Linked DNA regions of Oryza sativa Japonica Group. The protein of the gene in region 4 binds, or shares a complex with, the protein of the main gene of each other region. Links are inferred from orthologs where the notes say so. Each region holds a gene or a part of one and is shown on either strand. Other genes may lie near its edges.

Region 1 (4,175 bases), on a different chromosome or scaffold from region 4:
ATTTCTAATTGTCTTATAACGGATAGTGTAGCAGTGACAATTTTTTCAGACAACAATACAATGTGCATATGTTTTCATGTATCTCTCTCTTTCAGTAAACGTATTCCCGGTCTAAATACACAAAAACAACAAATTATATATATGTAGTGCATCTATTGTTTTTAGGTGCCATATAATATCTATATTTACCATCGTATGGACACTGATATAAGAATATTTTTTTTGGAATAATGTTATAATAATATTAAAAATCTTAATTTCTTCATATATGAGTATATGACTAGATAATAGAATCCTTTATTGTTCTCTCTTTCTTTTTTCTTCTCCACATGATCTTAATATATGTTCCACATGGTTTTCTCGATTAGAACAGATCTGCCATCACCTTCTGAGCACAAAACGCGCGCGCACATAGATAGATAGATAGATTTCTAAAAAGATAAAAATAGATAGATAGATAATATTGGTATGAAACAAGATTAATTGATTCCCTCCCCTGCCTCAAAGTTGAATGTTGTTGCCAGAGATAGGTCCTTAACGGGCTTTATTGCTGCTGAGATGAAATCATTGGCAAGATGTTTTACTTAAGTTTCTTTTGTTCATGTAAGCGTAAGCCATAAGCCGCAGAGCTGATGAGGTGGTTCATATGTTAGCTAGAACAAGCTAGCTTGCTGTTCACTTGGTTTACTAACAATGTATCCCTGGTTGTATAAAGGATCTTGTAAACTCTGAATCTTTTTACGAATGAATGGGTCAACCCTGATATTAATTTTTAAAAACATTGAACGGCAGGAGCTCTGCTGGATATATTAGAACCTTTATATTAAAATATAGAAGAAAAAACTATCTCCGAGAATCTCATCGATGTATTCCTTACAGTCAAGACAGATAATATATGAGGCCCTTGGCTGGCCTTTGCTGTGGTCACTAGAGGAGAGTAGGGCTTCGGCTGGTCAGTCGTCACCACTGCCGCTCTCCTCGGGTTCGACTCTCCACCGCTGTCACTCACTCTGTTGTCGCCACCCAACGAGGCCCACAAGAGAGGAAAGAGAGATAGAGGGAAGGTGAGGAAGAAAACAAGATGAGGAGGAAGTTGCTGACATGTGAGTTCTACCTGCTAACTCAACGAGTCAAGTACGGTCAACCTACCACGTTAGAGAAAACCGTTTTCCAAACCATAAAGGAGTTAATTTGTATCAGTTTTTGAAGATGGGAGATGCGCTATACCAGGTTGTGTGGTTGAGGGAGGTGATTCAATTAGGAGCGAACGATAAGGGAGCTAATATACACTTATTCCTCGCGAGGTTATAGATTTTAAGGCCCATGGGCCATTCATTTGAATGGGCTAAAATCTCGTCTCGTCCATCGCAGCAGTAGATAACGTATTCTTCCATCGCAGGAGGTGCGCTTCCTATCCCCATCGCCACCCATGGCGACTCCCGCCGCTTCCCCTCTCCTGCTGCCGCTCCCCCTCCCCCTCCCGGCCTCCACCTTCCCGCCTCGCCGCGCCGTTCCCTGCGCCCGCCGCCTCGTCTTGCGGCCTCCCCGCGCCGGACGCCCTCGCCTCCGGGACCCGCCTCCCGCGGCACCCCCACCGGCGGCGGAGGAGGTCGGCGAGGAGGAAGAGGACGACGATGCCCCCCCGCTCAGGCTCCTCGAACCGCCCCAGGAGGACGACCCCTTCCCGCCCGAGGTGCTCAATCTCTTCCCGCCTAGTTGCTTCCGTTGCTCACATCTCTTCTGCTCGCGCGCATGCATGCATGATGAACAATGTCGTCGTGTGCAGATGGAGCCGGCCGACCCCGACTTCTACCGGATAGGGTACGCGCGGATGATGCGGGCGTACGGGGTTGAGTTCTTGGAAGGCCCCGATGGGATGGCCGTCTATGCCTCCCGGGACGTCGACCCACTCCGCAGAGCTAGAGTGAGCCTTTCTTTAACTATCCCATCATTATCTTTCCAATTCACTGCAATTGGACATAAGTACTATACTTACAAAGGGGCATTACAAATAGCATGTACAAGTACAATGTAGAGCCAGCCACAGCCAGTACTCACTCCACTCCAGTACATATATATGGTCTACATTCTGTGGTTGTTACTTTACCATTTACTGCTAGTTGGTTAGCGTATGTATGTCCTACTATCAGAACAAATATGAATTCTACTGAATAGTACGAAATGAAGTCAATCTTTGAATTTGTTAGGTACTTTACGCTTACATATCTTCTGCTGCCTTTTATAATGCTATGCAAATAATCAAATATGGTGTAAGGACTGCTCACATTCAGTTTCTGGATGCAACTAAAGCTTGCTAGTGCTTCACTTTAATATACCACATAGAACTGTTCTATTTCAGAAATCATGAGGCAGCTTGCTCGTGTGTTCACTACTTTTTAAGAACTAGTTAAGTTTAATCACACACTTATGCATAATCTTCTTGGCATATATATAAAAATTCATTTCACTTTATCAGGTGATTATGGAGATTCCATTGGAGCTGATGCTGACTATAACTCAAAAACGCCCTTGGATGTTTTTCCCCGACATTATTCCACTAGGCCATCCCATATTTGACATCATTGAATCAACAGATCCTGAGGTAAATGGAGCCCTCTAACCCTCTAATTATGGTATGTTCCAGTGAAGACTGTATGTGCATTCCAGAGTTTGTGTTTTTTAGTTTCTACAGAATCACTTATGAGGAACATTGTGTAATTAAGATTCAATAGCGCTTTGACTGCCCATTCCATCTACTATGAAAATAAGCTGTTATATTGGATAAAAGGGATGGTATTACTCAACACTTGCAACCTGTTTTCTTCCTTCATGCGGTGTCAAAGCTTCATAAGTGATGTAGACTGCATCCTAACGCAATCTGTACCCTCTTGCAGACAGATTGGGATCTAAGGTTAGCTTGCCTTCTTCTCTATGCATTTGATGTAGAAGACAACTTTTGGCAGCTATATGGTGATTTTTTGCCTAGTGTTGATGAATGCACTAGCTTGCTTTTGGCACCAAAGGTATTGTAAATCTAAACAAAATGAATTGTAGTCTTCTTAAACCTGACAATACAGTTTGAATGAATTTACATGCCTGGCTTGCCAGGACGATCTAATGGAACTAGAAGACCAAGATCTTGCCACGAAAATGTTAAAGAACCAGAAGAGAGCAATTGATTTTTGGCAAAAACATTGGGTACACTTCTGTACTATTTGATCAACTTCGCTGGCTTGGGTACATCTAACACTAGCTTGATGGGTAATGTCCAGCATAAAACAATCCCTCTAAAGCTAAAGCGTCTTGCCCCTGACCATGAAAGATTTCTATGGGCACTGAGTATTGTTCAGTCTCGCTCTGTCAATTTGAAACTGAGAATGGGAGCCTTCCTCCAAGATGCAAATGTCCTAGTGCCGTATGCTGGTACATGTTTTCTTATCTGTTCCCCTTTATGCTCTTTATTTTTATTTTCAGTGTGTATTAAGCACCGATTACTAAAATTAAGAATAAAATCACTTAGTTTCTTCAGCTTGCGATGATAATCAGATGTCTAACAGTCTAAGTCAAGGCTGCGGTCTGAGGGATCTTTTGCTCCATTTATTTTGAGCTGGCGAATGCTATAAAGGTTTTTATAATGTTATAGCGCTAATGTTACTTGCACAGTAAATCATAGTTACCAACTGATCCAAGATATTATATTTTCTAATATCAGCACTACTTCTGTATGGTTAAACTCTGTTGGAATAAGGATCTAACTAATATCTATTGTCATTTTTCACACCAATACTACGCTTTATTCCTTCTAGACGTTCTAGTCAGGCAGTATAGTTACATTGAATTACTTAATAATTATCACAAAGGCATGAAATTCAAAACTATACTGTTCTGATAATCAGCATATTCTAGCTTCTGATTACTGATACTGAGTCTCATCATAACTTATAGCTTGCCTATTTGTCTCCAGATATGCTGAATCATTCACCTGATGCTAATTGTTTCCTGCATTGGCGTTTCAAAGATCGTATGGTTGAAGTCATGATTAAGGCTGGGCATGCTGTCAAAAAAGGAGATGAGGTACTGTTTAGAGCTTAGAGTACAATTAGCTTCCTTGTGAGCAAAGAGCGACTAGTTTAATGTTATATTATAATTAAAAATTCCTTATTTGCATGGAAAGT
Region 2 (4,155 bases), about 6.8 Mb from region 4:
TCTCTTGTACCGACACAAATATAACGAGGGGCCATGACCGTTCAAAAGCCATTTCCACATACCGTCTCCAAGCAGCAGTGCTGTCCATCGGCATTAGTTCCCAAAAATAACCTTCTATTGCACGACTCACTACAACAGATACTGACATTGTGTAGACTTCTTGGTCTATTCTAAATCCTCTCAACAACCAACTATAAATTGACTCAAATGTTCTCTCCGCAGGCCTATCGATGCCCTTAGATGTCATTACAAAATCTGACAGATCAACACCATCTGGACCAAATCTAATATTTCCTTCACCGTGAACTATCTGAAATGTGACCTTACTTGACATTGTGCCTGATGAAAACAATAACTGCGTTAACCTCGCATTTCTGTACTACGCCCTAAGTTACATTCTCTACAATATTGTTCTCTAAATTTCTAAAAGTAGGTTACATTCTCCAGATCAAACTAAACTACATCTTACAATTAACACTACTGTCTATGTCTCAATTCATACTATTATATTCTATGCTCTGGATCTACACATATGTGCTGTGTGCTACAGATCTGCTAAAATATATGGAACTAAAACTAAAACGCAACATATGTACTCAAACGTAATATATTAGTACAAATGCAAAAGATGTATGGGAGCATACCTGTGATGAAGTGAGCGAACCAGCAGGGCTTCGCCGCTTCCCTTCTGCTGCCCTCCCCTCTCTCTCTCTTTCGTTTTTTTGGATTTTTAGTGAATATAATGAAATTTCACAGGGGAGGGGCTGGGCTTTATAGGGGGGAGGCAAAAATCGCCCTCCCCCAGGGCGGCAAGGGGGCCGCCTGCAAAATTCCATGCCCCCTCGCCGCCCATTTGCAGGCGGCCCCCCCGCACAGTGCAAAATCGCCCTAGCGGAGGGCGGCAAGGGGGCCGCCTGCAAAATTCCATGCCCCCCCTCGCCGCCCATTTGCAGGCGGCCCCCCGCACAGTAGAAAATCGCCCTCGCGGAGGGCGGCAAGGGGGCCGCCTGAAAAAATTCCATGCCCCCCCCGCCGCCCATTTGCAGGCGGCCCCCCGCACAGTAGAAAATCGCCCTCGCGGAGGGCGGCAAGGGGGCCGCCTGCAAATTTCGTTGACGGCCGTCGCCCGAGAGCGAACGGCCGTCTGCCACGTCATTTTCGCCGCCCTCTGGGAGGGCGATTTTTAAAAATCGCCCTCCCAGAGGGCTGTAGGCGACTATTTCCGTCAATTTTCAAAATGGAAAATTATTTTTGTAAAACTTTTAATAAAAAAAATTATAAATAAAAAAAATTCGAATTTGAAGTCCACCGGATAAACCCCGTGTTCCTCTTCGAAAACCTCTCCTTGTTATCCTGTCCCCTTCCGAAGACCAAACCGGCTACCTGAACTTCGGTGCGCGTCCATGGAGCTCAACCCATCCGCTTCCCTCCCCTAGCTCTCTCTCGTCCACCTCGGGTTCCAACCGCAGCATCGGAGGCGGAGCCATGGCGTCGTGCTCCCGCACTTGGCTCCTCCCAGGTGACCTCTCGCCCCTCATTTCCAACCGCCAATTCGCACGGCTCAAGCGAACTCACCTCCCTCCAATACTCCGCAGGCATGGCGCCGCAGGCCACCGCCCAGACTGTTCCTCGCCCCCTCCAGTCCTTGGTAACTCCTCCCCCATCGGAATGCCCGAGAAAATTGCTGAAATTTTACCGCGTTCCCGTGCTCCCAGTTGTCATGGGTGCTGAGTATTTTTTTATTTTGATTTGTGTTTGGTGCGTGCGCAGAAGGTGTTTGCTGGATTGCCTCACCGGAGAAGGGTGCTGTTTTCTGGTGTGTCGAGCAGAACGCGAAGAGGCAGGATCAGGAGCGTCAAGGACGACTCGCTCCATTTTGATCCATCTAAGATCGAGGCGCCACCGTACTCCAGTTACTTCGACTCCACGTCGGGCCAGCTCGAGCCGGCGTCGGGTGCTCGGGCAAGCATACCTGGGCAGGAGTACTGGCCGGAGGGCACTGCATCCCGCGTACGCGCTGCCCGTGCACCTGCACCGGTCGGGGAATCAGCTGGGACACCGTCGTTTGGTAAGAAGCCCGGGAGTAGAAGGAAAGGGTACAAGGAGCAGGTAGCATCAGCGACGGCAGGGAGAGGCACGGAGACCAGTGGAGATGAGGGAGAGTCGGTTGTGGCCATTGAGGCCTCATCAGATGAGACACTGGAGGAGACAAAGGATTCATTGGATGAGTACGTCGTTTATGAGATGCCCAAGGAAGAAAATTTGAGTGAATATGAGATGGACAAGATGATGGGACGGCCACACCCGTTCGTTGACCCGCAGAAGGCAATGTCTGTAGGGGAACCAAAATCTAGTGAAGAGCTGTGGTGGAACTGGAGGAGGAAGTCTGAGGAAAATGAAATGTGGTCAAGATGGCAGAGGAGGCGTCCAGATGTTGACACGGTTAGTTCTTGATTGGTTTGAACTTAATAAATGACTTATAAGTCTTTTTTACTTAAGTTTTTCTGCCTATTGTCACTTGTTAACATAACCTAGTAGCGAATATGATGTACACAGTATGGTTCTTATTCTCCACTCCTCCTGCTGCATGTCCACACCACAATTTTGAGGGTTTCAATTGTTTGTATGCTAGTCTTCGTATACCCTATTTTGATAGCACAAGGCACAAACACTAAGGTAGTACTCCCTCTGTCCCAAAATATAAGAACCTAGTATTGGATGGGACGCAGGATACTATATACTTTGGTTGGACACATCCCATTCGGTACTAGGTTCTTATATTTTTGGGACGGAGGGAGTACATGTAGTTTTGTGTGTGCCAAAATATCCAACCAAAGTATAGTGTTTGTAGTGCTAATATTTCCAGAAGCCACACAATGTCGTCATGATCATCGTATGCATCTTCTAGTGTATAAAAGATGCAAGCAGAGTAGTGTACACAGTGATGAGCTGGTATTTTTATTCTGGGAGTTCAAAATGAGATGAAATACTTAACCATATATCTTGGGTTCAGACAGAATTAGGTTCTTCATTAGCCTAGACTGGTAACATTTATAAGGATCTTCTGGGGTCATCTCTATTCCACGAATCCTAAAAGCTGTGTGGCTCAGTTGAACGCCTATTCCCCCATACTAAATCCACCACCTGGTAGATACACGTGCACAGCTTGCAGATGTGGCATTTCCTATACATGGCTTATCAATTTAATCTATATTGTTGGTTGATGTTTTTAACCTTTTTCATTATTCAGATTAGTGTTTCTTCTAACTTACAGCTCTGTGTCTTGTCAGTTATAATTTAAATTGTAACACTCATTTCATTATTGTAGGTCTTTGCAAAAGCAATGGCAGAAACTGGGCAGATCAAAATATTTGGGGACCACCCTACCAGAACAGAAGCTGCTCTTGCCAAGGCAAGAAGACATTTATTCAAAGAGGAAAGGTTGGCTGAATACTAGAAATTATTTTCTCAAAATTTAGTGATTTTGCTTTTCGTGGGTCTTCACCATATGTGAAAACCGTGCTTTTAATTTTAATATCTTCACCATATGTGCAATGATACTCTTTAAGCTTATGTAGACTCTTTAACTGACCTTTGGTATCCCCTCGTTGATTTATAACAAATATTTGATGGATGTTATTATGTCTAGTTGCCTACCTGCTGGTTTGTACTTCAATGTTACTTGTTATGACAGCAGAAAAAAATATTGACACAACGTCCTTTCAACATGATATTTTCACAGTATTCTTAAGGTATATAGTTCTATCTTGCCTTCCGTCCATTCTTATATTGGATATACAATGAAAACACAGGTTAGAAGCAGAACAAAGGAGACTAGAAGAAATAGGGCCAATAGCATACTATTCGGAATGGGTTGAAGCGTATAAAAACAAAGACACTTCACGAGAAGCTGTACAGAAACACTTTGAGGAGACTGGCGAAGATGAGAATACTCAACTTATAACAATGTTTCAACACCAAACTGCTGGGGAATTCCGTATCATGATGGGCACTGATGTTCGCATACAACGAGATCCTTTGGCAATGAGGATGCGGGAAGACCAGATCAAACAGAGTATATCTTCTTTTCTCAATCCTGATCATTTTATATTATTGACATCTACAAGCCGCTTTTGCTGAATTTATACATGGTCC
Region 3 (4,047 bases), about 3.8 Mb from region 4:
CTAGTACCTTTGATCAGAAATTGCATTTTGCATTCCTTTTGGAGCACTCAAAACCAGTGGCAGATTGTTCATGATCTCTCTTATGCGGACAGTCTACTATTAAAGCTCTTGTTATGACAAACTTAAATATATCATTTTCATATACCCAAAACCTATAGTTCAAGTTATTTTTATAGATGGAAACACCCAAAACATATACTTTAATTTATTTTATAGCCAAACTTAACTTATGCTGACTGGACGCATTCTCAAGCGACTTGTTTTTGAGACCGGGGGAAGCATTGCCATCCCATTCTCATGGGAATTTGGAGCACAACTATACCCCCTTTGCCACCCAAGATAAAAAAAGGGGGGCTAACCAAAGAAAAGAGTATCTGAAAGCAGTTCCACAAGATGAGATTGTTCTACCAAAATGACCCTATAATGCATGTATGGTATGTCTTGTATCGTTCTCCATCCAACAAATTCAATTACGTCACTGAAAAATAATCAGAGGAGTTATAAGATGACAAATGGGTTGACCCCCCTGCCTTCATTTTGCATCTATGGCGTGAAATGACATTACACTACGCCTCAAAAGTTTACAATCGACTTTACAACCTCCTTAACAGGATGGCCACGCAGATAATTAAGCTAGCATTCCCTCCTGTTCTATCTAGAAATTTGATGAACTGTATGTTTTGTTAGAGTACAGTACAAAGGTGAAAGTGTACAGCTAAAAACATGAGCATACCAAAATATATGACATAGTTGATACCTGACCCCCTCCCAACTTGAGATGAGCCAGTAAGAGGTTTCTCTCCTTCCTCTTCAAGTGATACATTTATTACAGATACAAGCATCATAACCACACTGGTCTATTTAGACTATTTTCCTGGCAAATAAAGTTAGCAAAATTAATAATATTCTCCCCTGAACCAGGTACTAATACAGAGAAAGGACATTAAAGAGAACAATGACCAGTATAGAATACAGTTTTCTAACGGGGAACAGGTTATCATTGGATGAAAAGCTTACCACAGTGTACACTCACCAAGAGTTGAGAATTAAGGCACTGTCTCAATACATAAGCGCTGAAATGCAGGAGATTAGCACGGAGGTGCAATAGCTTCAGGATTAACACAAGATGGTCTCTTTGCATTGTAGTAGAAATGGGCAATCATTTGAACTAGTTCGTCGGCAGTTCTTAGTTCTGTAAACAAGCAAATGAGGCAATCAGGTGTTGTCAGAGTGGCAATTTTGACCATTGAAAAAGGTGGGCCTAACATGAAAGTGCATATTAGCAATCAAGGAATTTAATAATTCAAAGTTCCATTCAATTTGTTAACTATGTGAACAGGATTTACCATAAAAATGGAACTAACTACTCACCTTTTTCCCTGTATAATATCTTGTTTCCCCTGAGGAATAATAATTGTGGGCATTCTTTTACTTGAAGTGCAAATGCCAGGTCTCTCTCAATATTCATATCAACCTTCACTGTCTGGAACTCAATTAAATTTAGCATATGACCAACCACCTCAATAACCTTACCGTAATACATCAAGTATTAACTATAAATATGATTCACACTGACCCGAGGAGGTAGCCGATCTTTACTATTCCAGTAAACTTTAGCCGCCTTTTCCAATTCTTGAAGAAACTTCCAATTGTCAGCTGCCCTATAAACAAAGGCAAAACATTACGCGTACATATCATCCTGTCATGGAAGTAGAACACCTAATTTTCTGAGGCAACTCAAAACGATAGTACATTTTTACATTTTTATGCATTACTTCAGGGGTAGTTCTGAACTTTTGATTCAATGGATTCAAAATTATCAGATATGACAATATAAAGTGAGAAGCTTGAAGTTTATGAAGTTTATCACTTTGGTCCTAACATATAGGTACTATGGGTTCACATGAATAGAGTCTGGGTAGAATAGTGATTTATACCTGTTGTAGCGCTCGAAGACAAGAACGATGAGGGGGCTAGGGTGGAAGGCGAAGCTCTCCCACTCCAAGCAGTTGATCTCTTTGACCCATCCCTCCTCGACCTCCCTCTCCCAATCGATCTCCACACCATCCACCGTCACATTCTTGATGGAATGCTTGTCAAAGTACTCCGACGCCCGAATCCCCCACCCGATGTCGGCGTCCAGAGGCCAGGAGGGATCCTCCTCCTCAACCACAGCCTTCAGCTCCCCCTCTTCCTCACCAGTCCCCTCTTTTCCCTCCTCGTCGGAGAGCTCCTCCTTTCGCTTCAAGATGTCGCCCTTGCCTTCGAGGACTTCGGGGTCGCGCTCCCGGATGGAAGCGAAGACCTGCTCGAGGCGGCCACGCACGAAGTCCTCCACCGCCGCCGCCTCGCTCCGGCGCCCGCGGCGCGGCTTGCGGGGCTTGGTTGTGGGGAAATCGGGGGTGTCGTCGCCTAGGTTCTCGTGGCTGGTACGGGGCTCGGGCTTGGGAGGCCGTGGTGGTGGCGGCGGCGGGGCGGAGGAGGCGAGGAGGCGGCTGGGGTGGTGGCCATGGCGGCGGCCGTGGATGGGGTTTAAGCCGGTGGTGGGAGGCGAGGGTTTTAGGGGGAGGAGAGTGGGAAGACGAAGCATCACGGCGACGAAGTTCACCGGCCTTCGCGCGGCGCTCGTCTTTCACCGTTCTTTCCTGCCCTATCCGAATTGGTGCATCACTGCATCTACCGAGCTACGGGCTACTAGTCGGCCCACTACATTGGTCTTATTACAAATTTGGGCACAAATCCGTGTGATATGTGCTATCGGGCCGGGATTCCTCTTCTCCTGGTGGTGTTGGTATCCGGCCCAATGCATGTGCTCCCAGTCGGGAACTTGAGACCAAGCCCAACTACCTGACGTCAGCGGTTGACGTAATGACGGTGCTAGCCAGGCGCTGTCGACGTCATTTTCCTCCGTGCGGAGGAGGCGCTGTCGATGAACACGCGCGTGGCGTGTCAGGGCAGCGCACCTGGGCTCGTCCAGGCGCGCGGCGGCGATCGATCGATCCGCGGGCGTCAGGCGCGCGTCGCCCGGCCGGCACTGGGTCCGTCAAACTGGAGTATATACTAGTACTAGCTCTGATCCACCGGGCTCCCGCACCGTGCTGCGCTCTTGTCTTTGCGCTCTTGCTTGTCCCACTTAACGCGATCGGTGCAGGTAGCGCAGCCGCATCCCCTGTCTGTCCCTCCACCGGCGAAGAACGGCCGGTGCGTTAGACGATGGAAGCTTGATTAAAACGGATGGCTAATCGCGATCGATTCGGCGGCGAATTTAAGGCGCTCACCAGTACGTAGAGGACGAATACGGGTGTTTGCGTACTAGTATTCCCCTATTCAAAAAATTAGAATTTCAAAGGCAAAGGAAATTCGTGGAGGATGGAACAGGGAGCATCTGCCGTACCAAACAGCTATAGATGTGATACTACTGAAAATCTGAACATAAGTATTAATACATATTACATCCCGTAGTAGATCCTATAATAAATTCGTTTATTTTGAGATGCAGGGAATAGTATGTAACTATCTATTAGCCATCCTCTGCACTACAGTGAATGTAAAACAATAACAGAAAAAAACTAAGAGATCAACACACTATAGCTACGGTGTTTTCTCAATATTCACTGCATTAAACAAACTGTGGTGGGCACAGCTATAGTGCTTCTCCGCAGTACTGTCGACGATCCATGTCCCTGGAGGATTACGCCTACCGTCAGTACAGCAGCCGACCGACGATCACTTACCGATCACACGTATCACTGTGTCAGCTATTGATGATGGCGCTGGATACAATGGATTATGAAATATATTAATCATCCGAACATATGCTCAATTGCAATTACTTGTATTTTTTGGCAGTTTAATTTTCTGCTCAAACGTGGAGTGTATATGAATTATTAATTAGCATTAATTTGTACTCATTCCATCCAAAAAAAACTCAACCTAGAAAGGGTCAGGGAGTAGAACTCTAGCTTCTTTCCGTAGTTTATGTAGATAGTACTAGAAGGTTAGAATTAGAAAAGATCGAGATGAGAAAGTGACATCTGAACTGTTGAA
Region 4 (4,226 bases):
TAGGTGAAGGTAAAAGATATCCACGAATAACCCATGTTTTTCCTTTGGTTCAACAAAAGCAATTCTAATTTATAAAAAACTATATTAAGCGATGGAAGTACCTTTTTTATTGTTCGTACTGCAGGTAAGATACTAGAGTTTGATTCTCCAGAAAATCTCCTCAGAGATGAATCATCAGCTTTCTCAAAGCTGGTGATGGAATTCGTGGGAAGATCATCATAGGGTAGACATCAACCAGAGTTAACATAGAGATATCAAGCAGCCACCAACCTACTTAACTCCATCTAGACTTGTATTTATCAACATTGAAACTAACAGGGCATGAAGAAGGTTTACGAGTGGACAGCAGGCATCAGAAGTACAGAAGGAAATTTTGGTTTAAGTGAAGACTATGCTAGCATTAGATACTGATCTTTTCCTGATCTAGCCCTTACCAATTGGACAGTTGCTGAATGGTGTTCATATTATATTGGCAATGCAAGTGATCTTAGATAGATTCATATTCTTTTCCACCAACTACTAGATCAAAATAAATTGTAGCCTTAATTATATTCACCAAATCATTCGTTGTTGATTTGTTTGGATAACCGGGGTATTTTTTATATTGGTTGTCACAGTACGATGCCACCCTATAGTTTGATTTTGTAAACAAAAAGGGGCATAGCTCCTATTTCCATGCCACCATATTTGCTGAAATAACACATGGATCGGTTTTTAGCACATCAGAATTTCCAGGTAACAGAAACATATCAAGAGCAGCGCCTACAGCTCCTCCCACCAGTTTAAGAATACCGGGTTTCTACTCCACAAGCACTGATGCACAATATGCATTAAAAAAACGCCGAAGCTGGCAGATCAGAAAGTAATTGGAAATACAAATCCATGGTCCCTAAATGCTACGATCAGAAACAGCGGGGCGGGTTGGGAGGGAGTCCATACCGAGCGTACGCCCTGCGAGGCAAAAGGTCGAACAGTTGGCGAGCACTTGAAAACGCCCCACGGCTCCATTACACGGTCGCCCTCCCCCACCAGCTCCAGCTCCCCTCCCTCCCACGGACCCGCACGCACGGCCGAACGCGAAAGCAGGCTGGCCAGCGCGTTCCACCGCCGCTGTCTCGCTCTCTCTCCGCCGCCACCGCCGCCGCCGCCGCCAGCCTGCGCGTTCCACCGCCGCTGTCTCGCTCTCTCTCCGCCGCCGCCACCGCCGCCGCCGCTGCGGCGGCGGCGGCATTGGTCTGCGTCGCCGTGGTGAATTCGTTGTAAGGCCCAATCGGACGGAAATCCAAATTTTGGTGGGCCTAGTTGGGCCTCCGCCTTCTCATCTCATGGGCCATTATACTGTAGCAAAAGGACTGAATCTCTCACTGACATGTGGGGCCCACGACCTGCCTTATCCTCTCCTGTTTCAGCTCACTTAAACCCCTCGACGTCGCCACCGCCGGCGACGCCGTCGTCCCCAAAACCCGAGCAAGAATGGCGGCCACTCCGGCCACCGCCACCTTCCCGCACCTCGGCCTCCGCCCCAAGCCCCTCCTCAGGCGCCGCCTCCGCCGCATCGCCGTCTCCGTCTCCCCCTCCGGCCCCGACGAGACCCCCGCGGATGACCCGCCGGTGATCCCCTCGATCCTCGTCAAGAACACCGAGCCCGAGGACGTCGCCCGCCGCCGGAGCTGGGTGGAGCACGGGTGGGCGCCGTGGGAGGAGATCATGACCCCCGAGGTCGCGTTCGCGCGGCACAGCCTCAACGAAGGGGAGGAGGTGCCGCTCCAGACGCCGGAGTCGCAGGAGGCGTTCCGGATGCTCACCCCGGCGTACCGGGAGAAGGTGGAGTCCGAGCCCGGGTACGAGGAGCGCCTCTTCGCCACGCGCGACACGCCCGAGCCCCTCGAGACCTCGTGGGCCGGCGAGCTCCCGCTCCGGCTCGTGCCGCCGCGGGACTGGCCGCCGCCGGGGTGGGAGGTGGACCCCGGCGAGCTGGAGTTCATCAGGGAGGCGCACAGGGAGTTCACGGAGAGGCTGGACATGGCGGCGGTGGCGGCCAAGGGGGTGACGCACGTGGACAAGGTGGAGAACGCGCCGGATGATCTGGGGCTGGATCGATACAAGATGTTCTTGAAGCAGTACAAGGAATGGGTGGAAGCCAATCGGGACAGGTTGGAGGAGGAGTCCTACAAGGTAAAGCCGTTAATTTTGTTCGATCATTTGTGTGATGGTTTGATTTAACTGGGAATTTGCGTTTGACTGTGCATTGTGTTAGTTAGATGTAGAAGTGTTCATGCTTTAGTGGTCTGTGCCTGTAATTAGATATCTGCAGACCAATTGCTTCAGTTCACATTGGTTATGGAACGTGTTGGCATGCTGCTAATTACTATGATAATTATCAGAGGTGATAAGTTCACAAAGGATGGAAGAAATACCTGTAGAATGTAACAGTAGTCCAAAATCATTATTCTGGTAATAACTAGATAGTTGAAAATAAACCTTTTTAGTGATTACTGCAGTGGTTTATTGTGAATTTGTGATATCTTAATAAAAGTATTTTACATTTGTATGAACAGTCTACTATTATCAGAAAACCTAGACAACGGTATCCCGTTGGAACGGGATACCCTTATATGAGACTTACCTAATACCTAATACCTGTTGTGGTACCAGCTGCATGGTACCCTATACCTGTGATACCTGTTACCCGGTACCTGTGATACCTAGGACCTGATACCTGTGATACTCGTGCAAGAGAATAGTTAATATATCTATCCCGTTGCAACGGGATCCCCTTTTGTAGCGGCCCTCTACTATTATTGTATTTTCTTATCACTTAAAAAAAGTTCCTTTTCGACCCAAAAAAAAAAACTGTTATGGTGTTCAGAACCCCCTCAGATGCCTATTTCCTTGTACGTCATGAACACCTGTGTCCTAAACTCTTAGGTTCGATGTTGGCAAGTTGTTTTGTTATTCATTTGAGTGGCTCGGTATTGTCTGTTTTATGCTCTCTTCAGAGAGAGGCACGTCAGATAACCATGGGTTGATTTTATCTCCTGTAACTAAGCTTTGTTTGTTGGTTTAGACCTTTAGTTTAGGGGTTGAGTCTCACTTGTCATCTTTAAGAGTATTTGTAGTGTTCTAGGCGGTAATACCCCTCTTTGGCTATTTTTGTCGTGCAGTTTGATCAGGATTACTACCCTGGCAGACGGAAAAGAGGTGAGGACTACAAAGAGGACATGGTATGTTCATTACCTCTTGACAATTCACTGCCTGGTCAATTTTAATTTCTTGATATTATTAGTTCCTGATGTCTTGATTGCTTTTATGCAGCTTGAACTCCCGTTCTTCTATCCTGGACAGGTTTGCTAGAAGTTCTGATTGTACTCTCATTCTTCAGCAATTTGTTGACTGTTCTCGCCCTTAAATTCTGATTGTTTGGTTGAATGCATCTCATGCAGATCTGTCGTGGTCGAGTGATCAGTGTTCACCTCTATCAGGGAGCTTTTGTGGACATCGGTTGTGTTCATGATGGGTATGGTTTCTTGTTCTGATATACAATTGTGGACCTGGTATACTTATTTGTGAAAGAATTCTGCGTGCCATTTACATCTCATTATTTGTTTAGGTGGGTACCAATAAAAGGAAATGATTGGTATTGGATCCGTCATCACATCAGACCTGGCATGGAAGTCCATGTAGAGATTCTGGTTAGTGATCTCAAATTTCACTCTTACAGTGGTTAATGATATGATGGCAGCAATACAAAAGATTAAGGAAATATTTAAGAAGTTCGCATTGCTAAGTGAATATGCCAATTGTGTCTTTTCAATTTGCATTAACTGAAAATGAATTTATTTTTCATAGAAAAAGTTTTATTCCTTTGTTGCCTGAGTTGTGGAAATTTCTTTAATTAATTAATGGAGCTTGTATAACTGTATGATGCAGGCCAAACGAGATCCCTACCGCTTCCGTTTCCCACTCGAAATGCGCTTTGTATATCCTAACATTGATCATCTAATGTGAGTATCATCATTTGAAATGCGTGTGCCAATGATTTCTGACAATCTGGAGGTTTCAGTGCCCTGTGTCTTGTGCATTTCTTCAGTTTGTTTTTAGTTGACTAACTGTTTGTCATCTTATTTTTCTTTCTAACCGCAGATTCAATAGGTTCGACTATCCACCAATATTTCACCGCAAGGAAGATACTAACCCAGAGCAGTTGTGGGTGTGACCTCTGTCCT
Region 5 (4,210 bases), on a different chromosome or scaffold from region 4:
ACCAGCTAGTTGCTTTAACTCCTGTCTTTCAATGGGAATTGTCAAAAATTCCTCAGCCATAACATAGTTAGAGAGTATGCTACTATGCTTAAGATAGTATGACTGACGACCTTACTAGATAGATTTTTCAAATGGATGGGTGCATCGATCGTGTCCAGGATTGGAGTTGGATCCTTCTCCCAAAAGAAATCATCGACATCTGGCAGCGCAGCCACTCTTCTATTGAAGCGCTGTACAAAAAGAGAGAACATTCACCATCTGTGAGTATGAGACTACAAAGTTCAGAGTCCTTCTCCGGCCACAAATGTATCCCTAGTGAAATAGTTATCAAATTCTGGCAGGCTGCGACTAAAGCTCACACAATGTACTTCATTCTTTTATTCTTTGTGGGACTAAATATCTACCCTGAAGCTAAAATGTTAGCCTTGTCTGCACAGTGTACTGCAGATATGGAGAAAGAACATACCCTTGATGGCATATTGAACACCAGTGTTCGACATGGCTTCAAATTCGATGTTTTGCATCTCAAACACAGACAAGAGTGGAGACAGCAACTTGTTGAGCGCACAAAAGTTGATTCCTCACAGATTAAATTAACAGCAGGTGGAGAATGCAGATATCTCCCACCCATCCTGCGCAAGGAGTGACGACCAAAAGCCTGAAATTTACAGTATTCTTTAGCCTGTGAGAAACTTATTTTTTTTCTAAAAATAAACATGGAGAGATCACTGGATCCTAAATTCATCATAAACAATTATCCACATATGTTTTCAGTGTTCTAGATGAAGATGAGCACACAATCAAGTATCAGTCCTTGGAATGACACCACACCAAGAATCAGCTACAAACAGCAAACTCATCTATCCATCCAGGGACAGCTAAAATGGAGAATCAGACGGCCAAAATCCGTAATCCCCAATTTACACCACAGGCAACCAGCTTCCACTAGAAACCGAAATAGCCGCGGGGGGCAAAAGAAAACCAAGAACCCATCTACCGTTACCTCCTCTCCTCCTTCAAACCGGCCACCCGCCGCCGCCGCACGCGCAGGATCGGCGGCGAGGGAGCCGGAGGCGGCTCAGCGTGAGGGGGCGCTGCTGCTCGCGAGTGGCAGCAGCAGCAACCCTAGCTCCGGTTTGGGATTTGGGACGCGGAGTGCTCCTCTGCGCTCTTGACATGACAGATTAGTTAGGCATTAATCCGAGCAGAAAAGGGGACGATGATTAATTTGACAGAGGATTAGCTACTAAACTAATCACGTCTCTCCTAATCATTCATTATTCGGTTAACTTGTTCGTCCGTACTCGCGGGGCCCAACTGCCAGTGGCACTGGAGTGGTTTGCTCGGGTAAATTTACGAGATTGCCCCTGGGATGAGATAGAGACGAAGTGAAAAAGAAAAAAGCTTCGATTTTTTCTTTTGCAGAGGTGGTGGATAGATAGCGCGGCAGAGGAAAGAGGAGAAGAAAAGATGGCGGCTTTCGCCTCCGCTCTCCGCGTTCTCCCCTCGCCGCCGGCTGCGGTGCCTCGTCGGCTTCGCTCGGTGAGCTCCTCGTCGCGAAACCCATGGATACCTTCTTCTTCTTTCTGCCCCTTGCTCGTGCGCTCGCTGGAAGCTTTCTCATTTGGCGAGCTGCCTTGTTCTTCGATTTGTGACTTGAGATTTGATAAAAGGGATAGGAAGGGGAAGGGAGACACTGGCATTTCAAAGAGTTAGACGTTTGGAATTCGAGGGCATTGCAGGTTTTTTCCTTGCAGATTTTAGGATAGTGCGAATTTGAGGACTTTAAATCGATTAATAATTGATTATGAGTGGCACTATAATCTTTTGTACCATATTATTATCGGTCTCAAACATGACACCGCTAAAGATCATGTGTGTCTGTGATGTTACAAATCAATATACTATTTGATAAGTTAGTGATCCTTTATGGTGGATATTCAGCTTTTGTGAGTAATTTTTCAAGCCCTAGTTTTTTAAGAACAGGTTTGTATAGGTGGTGGGTCTATGTAGTGTCATATAATCTCATTGTAGTTAGACAAGATCGTTTCTCTATGTTGTTGGTATTCACCACGGTAAGTCAGCCACGTCTCATTTTTCTTCCATCTTCCACTGTGCATATGCAGTGTAAGATGTTTAATGTTTCTTTGTGTTAAATTTGGTGAACTGTGCCAGTTTCCATGATAATCCGTGTCATGCTTGCGTAGTGCTCAAGCAATGCTAAAGAGAGCTTAGGATTGTGTGTATCACGCTGACACTGGGCTTAGCAACCAATGTTCTATTGTGAAGTTGGAATGACATTACAAGCTTTGAAGATTGTACCTCAGCTTTTGTAATTCTACGGGCCCTTGACTATGATGTTTAGTGCTGGTTGCAATCTTTACGCCTTCTGTTTGTTGCAGAGAGAACAAAGGCAGGGCTGTAGATCTCGAAGGTATTCAAAAGTCGTGGCTTACTACGCTCTCACTACTCCGCCGTATAAACTTGTATGTTCTCCTCACCTGTTAATATTGCCTCGACAGATTACATTCTGCCATTTAAAAGGAAAAGATTTTAACTTATAGCTTGTCCTATGGTGTCCAGGATGCCCTGGAACCTTATATTAGCAAGAGGACAGTTGAACTTCACTGGGGTAAGCATCAGCAAGACTATGTGGATAGCTTGAATAAGCAGCTTGCTACCAGCATGTTCTATGGGTACACTCTGGAGGAACTAATAAAAGAAGCATACAACAACGGCAACCCATTACCAGAATATAATAATGCAGCACAGGTAATGTTGTTATTATTTGGCTTTTTTCCCCCATTAGTTGGATATTTTATTTGTACCCATCAAATTTTCATCCTGATAGCTTCAGTGTACATGTTTAATTGTTGCACATAACTGAAAGCCTGAAAAAAGGATGAGCAGTAGGCTTATTATGGTTCTAATTTTCAATCTTCTGAAATACAGGTATGGAACCATCACTTCTTCTGGGAATCAATGCAGCCAGAAGGTGGTGGGTCACCAGGGCGAGGTGTCCTGCAGCAGATAGAGAAGGATTTTGGCTCTTTTACTAATTTTAGGGAAGAGTTTATACGCTCAGCATTATCACTTTTGGGGTCTGGCTGGGTTTGGCTTGTCTGTAAGTTTTTTATTTTCATTTTCTTTGAAGTTCAGCCTGTACAGGCACTGTTGGTTCAATCTGACTTCCTGAAATGTTGTTTCTACAATCTAAATTTAGTTTTTAAAGTCTGATTTATACACGTCTGGTCTATCTTTTGCTTGTTTCAGTGAAGAGAAAAGAACGAAAATTTTCGGTAGTCCATACACAAAATGCCATCAGTCCACTTGCACTTGGTGATATTGTATGTTTTCTCATTTCCTTTTGAAATGTTTAGAATAATAGCATCCCAAGTATAAACCTTTGTGATGACATTCCATGCCCTCTTCTCTTGCAGCCACTCATCAATCTAGACTTGTGGGAGGTAAGGAAATGACACTGCGTTTAGATATTACATTATGCTAAATATTGACATATCTACTTTTGTGTTTCAGCATGCTTACTACTTGGATTACAAGGTATTTTCTAGATCCTCTTTTTCTTCTTATACCTAAAATTGTAATTCACCAAGTACTAAGCTATCATAAATCACTGGTGATGCTTCCTTTTGATGCTTCAGGATGACAGGCGAATGTATGTTACAAACTTTATCGACCATCTTGTCTCTTGGGATACTGTCACTCTACGCATGATGCGCGCTGAGGCTTTTGTGAACCTTGGTGAACCAAATATCCCAGTTGCATGATATGAGATGATATGGATATGACCTAGAGATATCTATGCATGTATTCTCATCATGAGGTAAAATCCAGCATTTTGCAACATCATATCTGGTACATATGCAGCTTAATTATGTAGTTCATCATTCAGTATATATACAAAAAGAAACTAGAGAATCATTCAGTTTTTGGTGATGACTTATTTTCAACTATGACGCATCTTCAGCATTAGCAATGCCAGAAATCATGCTCCTAGGACATTATCTTATAACACAAAAAAGTTTTCTCTTGAAAAACAGCACGTGAGGCAATCAATCAAATATCGGGATTGAGATTTAAACACATGCTGCTGGGAGTATCAGGGAGCATGTCGCTTGATGCTGTTGCTTCGGCTGGGTTAAGAAACAGAATCAAGTGCCCTCAAAGAAACAGAAATCGACAATACATG

Evidence for each region.
Region 1: protein PLASTID TRANSCRIPTIONALLY ACTIVE 10 (region 4) and protein PLASTID TRANSCRIPTIONALLY ACTIVE 14 share a complex: the UniProt entries of both Arabidopsis thaliana proteins name them as parts of the transcriptionally active chromosome (TAC) complex. The link is inferred for Oryza sativa Japonica Group from reciprocal best matches to the Arabidopsis thaliana genes PDE312 and PTAC14.
Region 2: protein PLASTID TRANSCRIPTIONALLY ACTIVE 10 (region 4) and protein PLASTID TRANSCRIPTIONALLY ACTIVE 12, chloroplastic-like share a complex: the UniProt entries of both Arabidopsis thaliana proteins name them as parts of the transcriptionally active chromosome (TAC) complex. The link is inferred for Oryza sativa Japonica Group from reciprocal best matches to the Arabidopsis thaliana genes PDE312 and PTAC12.
Region 3: protein PLASTID TRANSCRIPTIONALLY ACTIVE 10 (region 4) and thioredoxin-like fold domain-containing protein MRL7 homolog, chloroplastic share a complex: the UniProt entries of both Arabidopsis thaliana proteins name them as parts of the transcriptionally active chromosome (TAC) complex. The link is inferred for Oryza sativa Japonica Group from reciprocal best matches to the Arabidopsis thaliana genes PDE312 and MRL7.
Region 5: the proteins of protein PLASTID TRANSCRIPTIONALLY ACTIVE 10 (region 4) and superoxide dismutase [Fe] 2, chloroplastic are in contact, whole or in part, in a cryo-EM structure (PDB 8XZV), measured with the Spinacia oleracea proteins. The link is inferred for Oryza sativa Japonica Group from reciprocal best matches to the Arabidopsis thaliana genes PDE312 and FSD3. Residues at the interface, in XP_021866326.1 of Spinacia oleracea: Arg80, Lys81, Trp84, Val85, Trp89, Pro91, Glu156, Leu158, Arg177, Asp178, Arg188, Glu192, Arg195, His198, Lys199, Ala202, Arg204, Tyr276, Pro277, Tyr314, Trp315, Glu329, Leu331, Arg346, Asp353, His354, Leu355, Leu356, Phe357, Arg359; in XP_021853685.1 of Spinacia oleracea: Tyr59, Tyr60, Gly61, Leu62, Lys63, Lys64, Pro65, Pro66, Leu100, Asp104, Leu106, Tyr107, Gly108, His109, Thr110, Lys116, Val117, Tyr119, Asn120, Tyr121, Gly122, Asn123, Glu142, Lys194, Ser204, Asn205, Arg258, Gln260, Ala261, Phe262.

What each region holds. Positions count from the first base shown.
Region 1 is NC_089039.1:29,436,429-29,440,603, forward strand, and holds the start of protein PLASTID TRANSCRIPTIONALLY ACTIVE 14, read left to right. Parts: upstream 1-1,375; 5' UTR 1,376-1,429; coding exon 1,430-1,693; intron 1,694-1,786; coding exon 1,787-1,924; intron 1,925-2,476; coding exon 2,477-2,602; intron 2,603-2,894; coding exon 2,895-3,023; intron 3,024-3,108; coding exon 3,109-3,198; intron 3,199-3,272; coding exon 3,273-3,423; intron 3,424-3,964; coding exon 3,965-4,074; intron 4,075-4,175. UniProt on the Arabidopsis thaliana protein: Essential for chloroplast development, especially for thylakoid formation. Involved in plastid gene expression, probably by maintaining plastid-encoded RNA polymerase (PEP) activity.
Region 2 is NC_089035.1:33,074,544-33,078,698, forward strand, and holds the start of protein PLASTID TRANSCRIPTIONALLY ACTIVE 12, chloroplastic-like, read left to right. Parts: upstream 1-1,347; 5' UTR 1,348-1,485; coding exon 1,486-1,519; intron 1,520-1,595; coding exon 1,596-1,648; intron 1,649-1,770; coding exon 1,771-2,442; intron 2,443-3,328; coding exon 3,329-3,441; intron 3,442-3,812; coding exon 3,813-4,075; intron 4,076-4,155. UniProt on the Arabidopsis thaliana protein: Involved in plastid gene expression. Acidic transcriptional coactivator necessary for the transactivation of many PIFs target genes (class B genes), particularly during the regulation of hypocotyl growth.
Region 3 is NC_089035.1:36,100,858-36,104,904, reverse strand, and holds thioredoxin-like fold domain-containing protein MRL7 homolog, chloroplastic, read right to left. Parts: upstream 2,673-4,047; 5' UTR 2,591-2,672; coding exon 1,938-2,590; intron 1,662-1,937; coding exon 1,577-1,661; intron 1,484-1,576; coding exon 1,372-1,483; intron 1,193-1,371; coding exon 1,089-1,192; 3' UTR 1,018-1,088; intron 875-1,017; 3' UTR 504-874; downstream 1-503. UniProt on the Arabidopsis thaliana protein: Plays an essential role in early steps of chloroplast development. Involved in the regulation of plastid gene expression. May positively regulate plastid-encoded RNA polymerase (PEP) activity through binding to FSD3 and CITRX/TRXZ.
Region 4 is NC_089035.1:39,905,218-39,909,443, reverse strand, and holds the start of protein PLASTID TRANSCRIPTIONALLY ACTIVE 10, read left to right. Parts: upstream 1-1,425; 5' UTR 1,426-1,473; coding exon 1,474-2,175; intron 2,176-3,164; coding exon 3,165-3,224; intron 3,225-3,315; coding exon 3,316-3,345; intron 3,346-3,443; coding exon 3,444-3,517; intron 3,518-3,610; coding exon 3,611-3,692; intron 3,693-3,930; coding exon 3,931-4,004; intron 4,005-4,143; coding exon 4,144-4,210; intron 4,211-4,226. Other genes in the region: putative ABC transporter C family member 15, read left to right, coding at 1-9, 125-222.
Region 5 is NC_089040.1:2,412,994-2,417,203, forward strand, and holds the start of superoxide dismutase [Fe] 2, chloroplastic, read left to right. Parts: upstream 1-1,408; 5' UTR 1,409-1,470; coding exon 1,471-1,542; intron 1,543-2,402; coding exon 2,403-2,486; intron 2,487-2,583; coding exon 2,584-2,772; intron 2,773-2,952; coding exon 2,953-3,124; intron 3,125-3,273; coding exon 3,274-3,347; intron 3,348-3,440; coding exon 3,441-3,467; intron 3,468-3,537; coding exon 3,538-3,561; intron 3,562-3,662; coding exon 3,663-3,788; 3' UTR 3,789-3,844; intron 3,845-4,061; exon of another isoform or gene 4,062-4,210. Other genes in the region: probable 1-deoxy-D-xylulose-5-phosphate synthase, chloroplastic, read right to left, coding at 1-21, 111-230, 467-631. UniProt on the Arabidopsis thaliana protein: Destroys superoxide anion radicals which are normally produced within the cells and which are toxic to biological systems. Plays important role in chloroplast development, particularly in the maintenance of thylakoids membranes.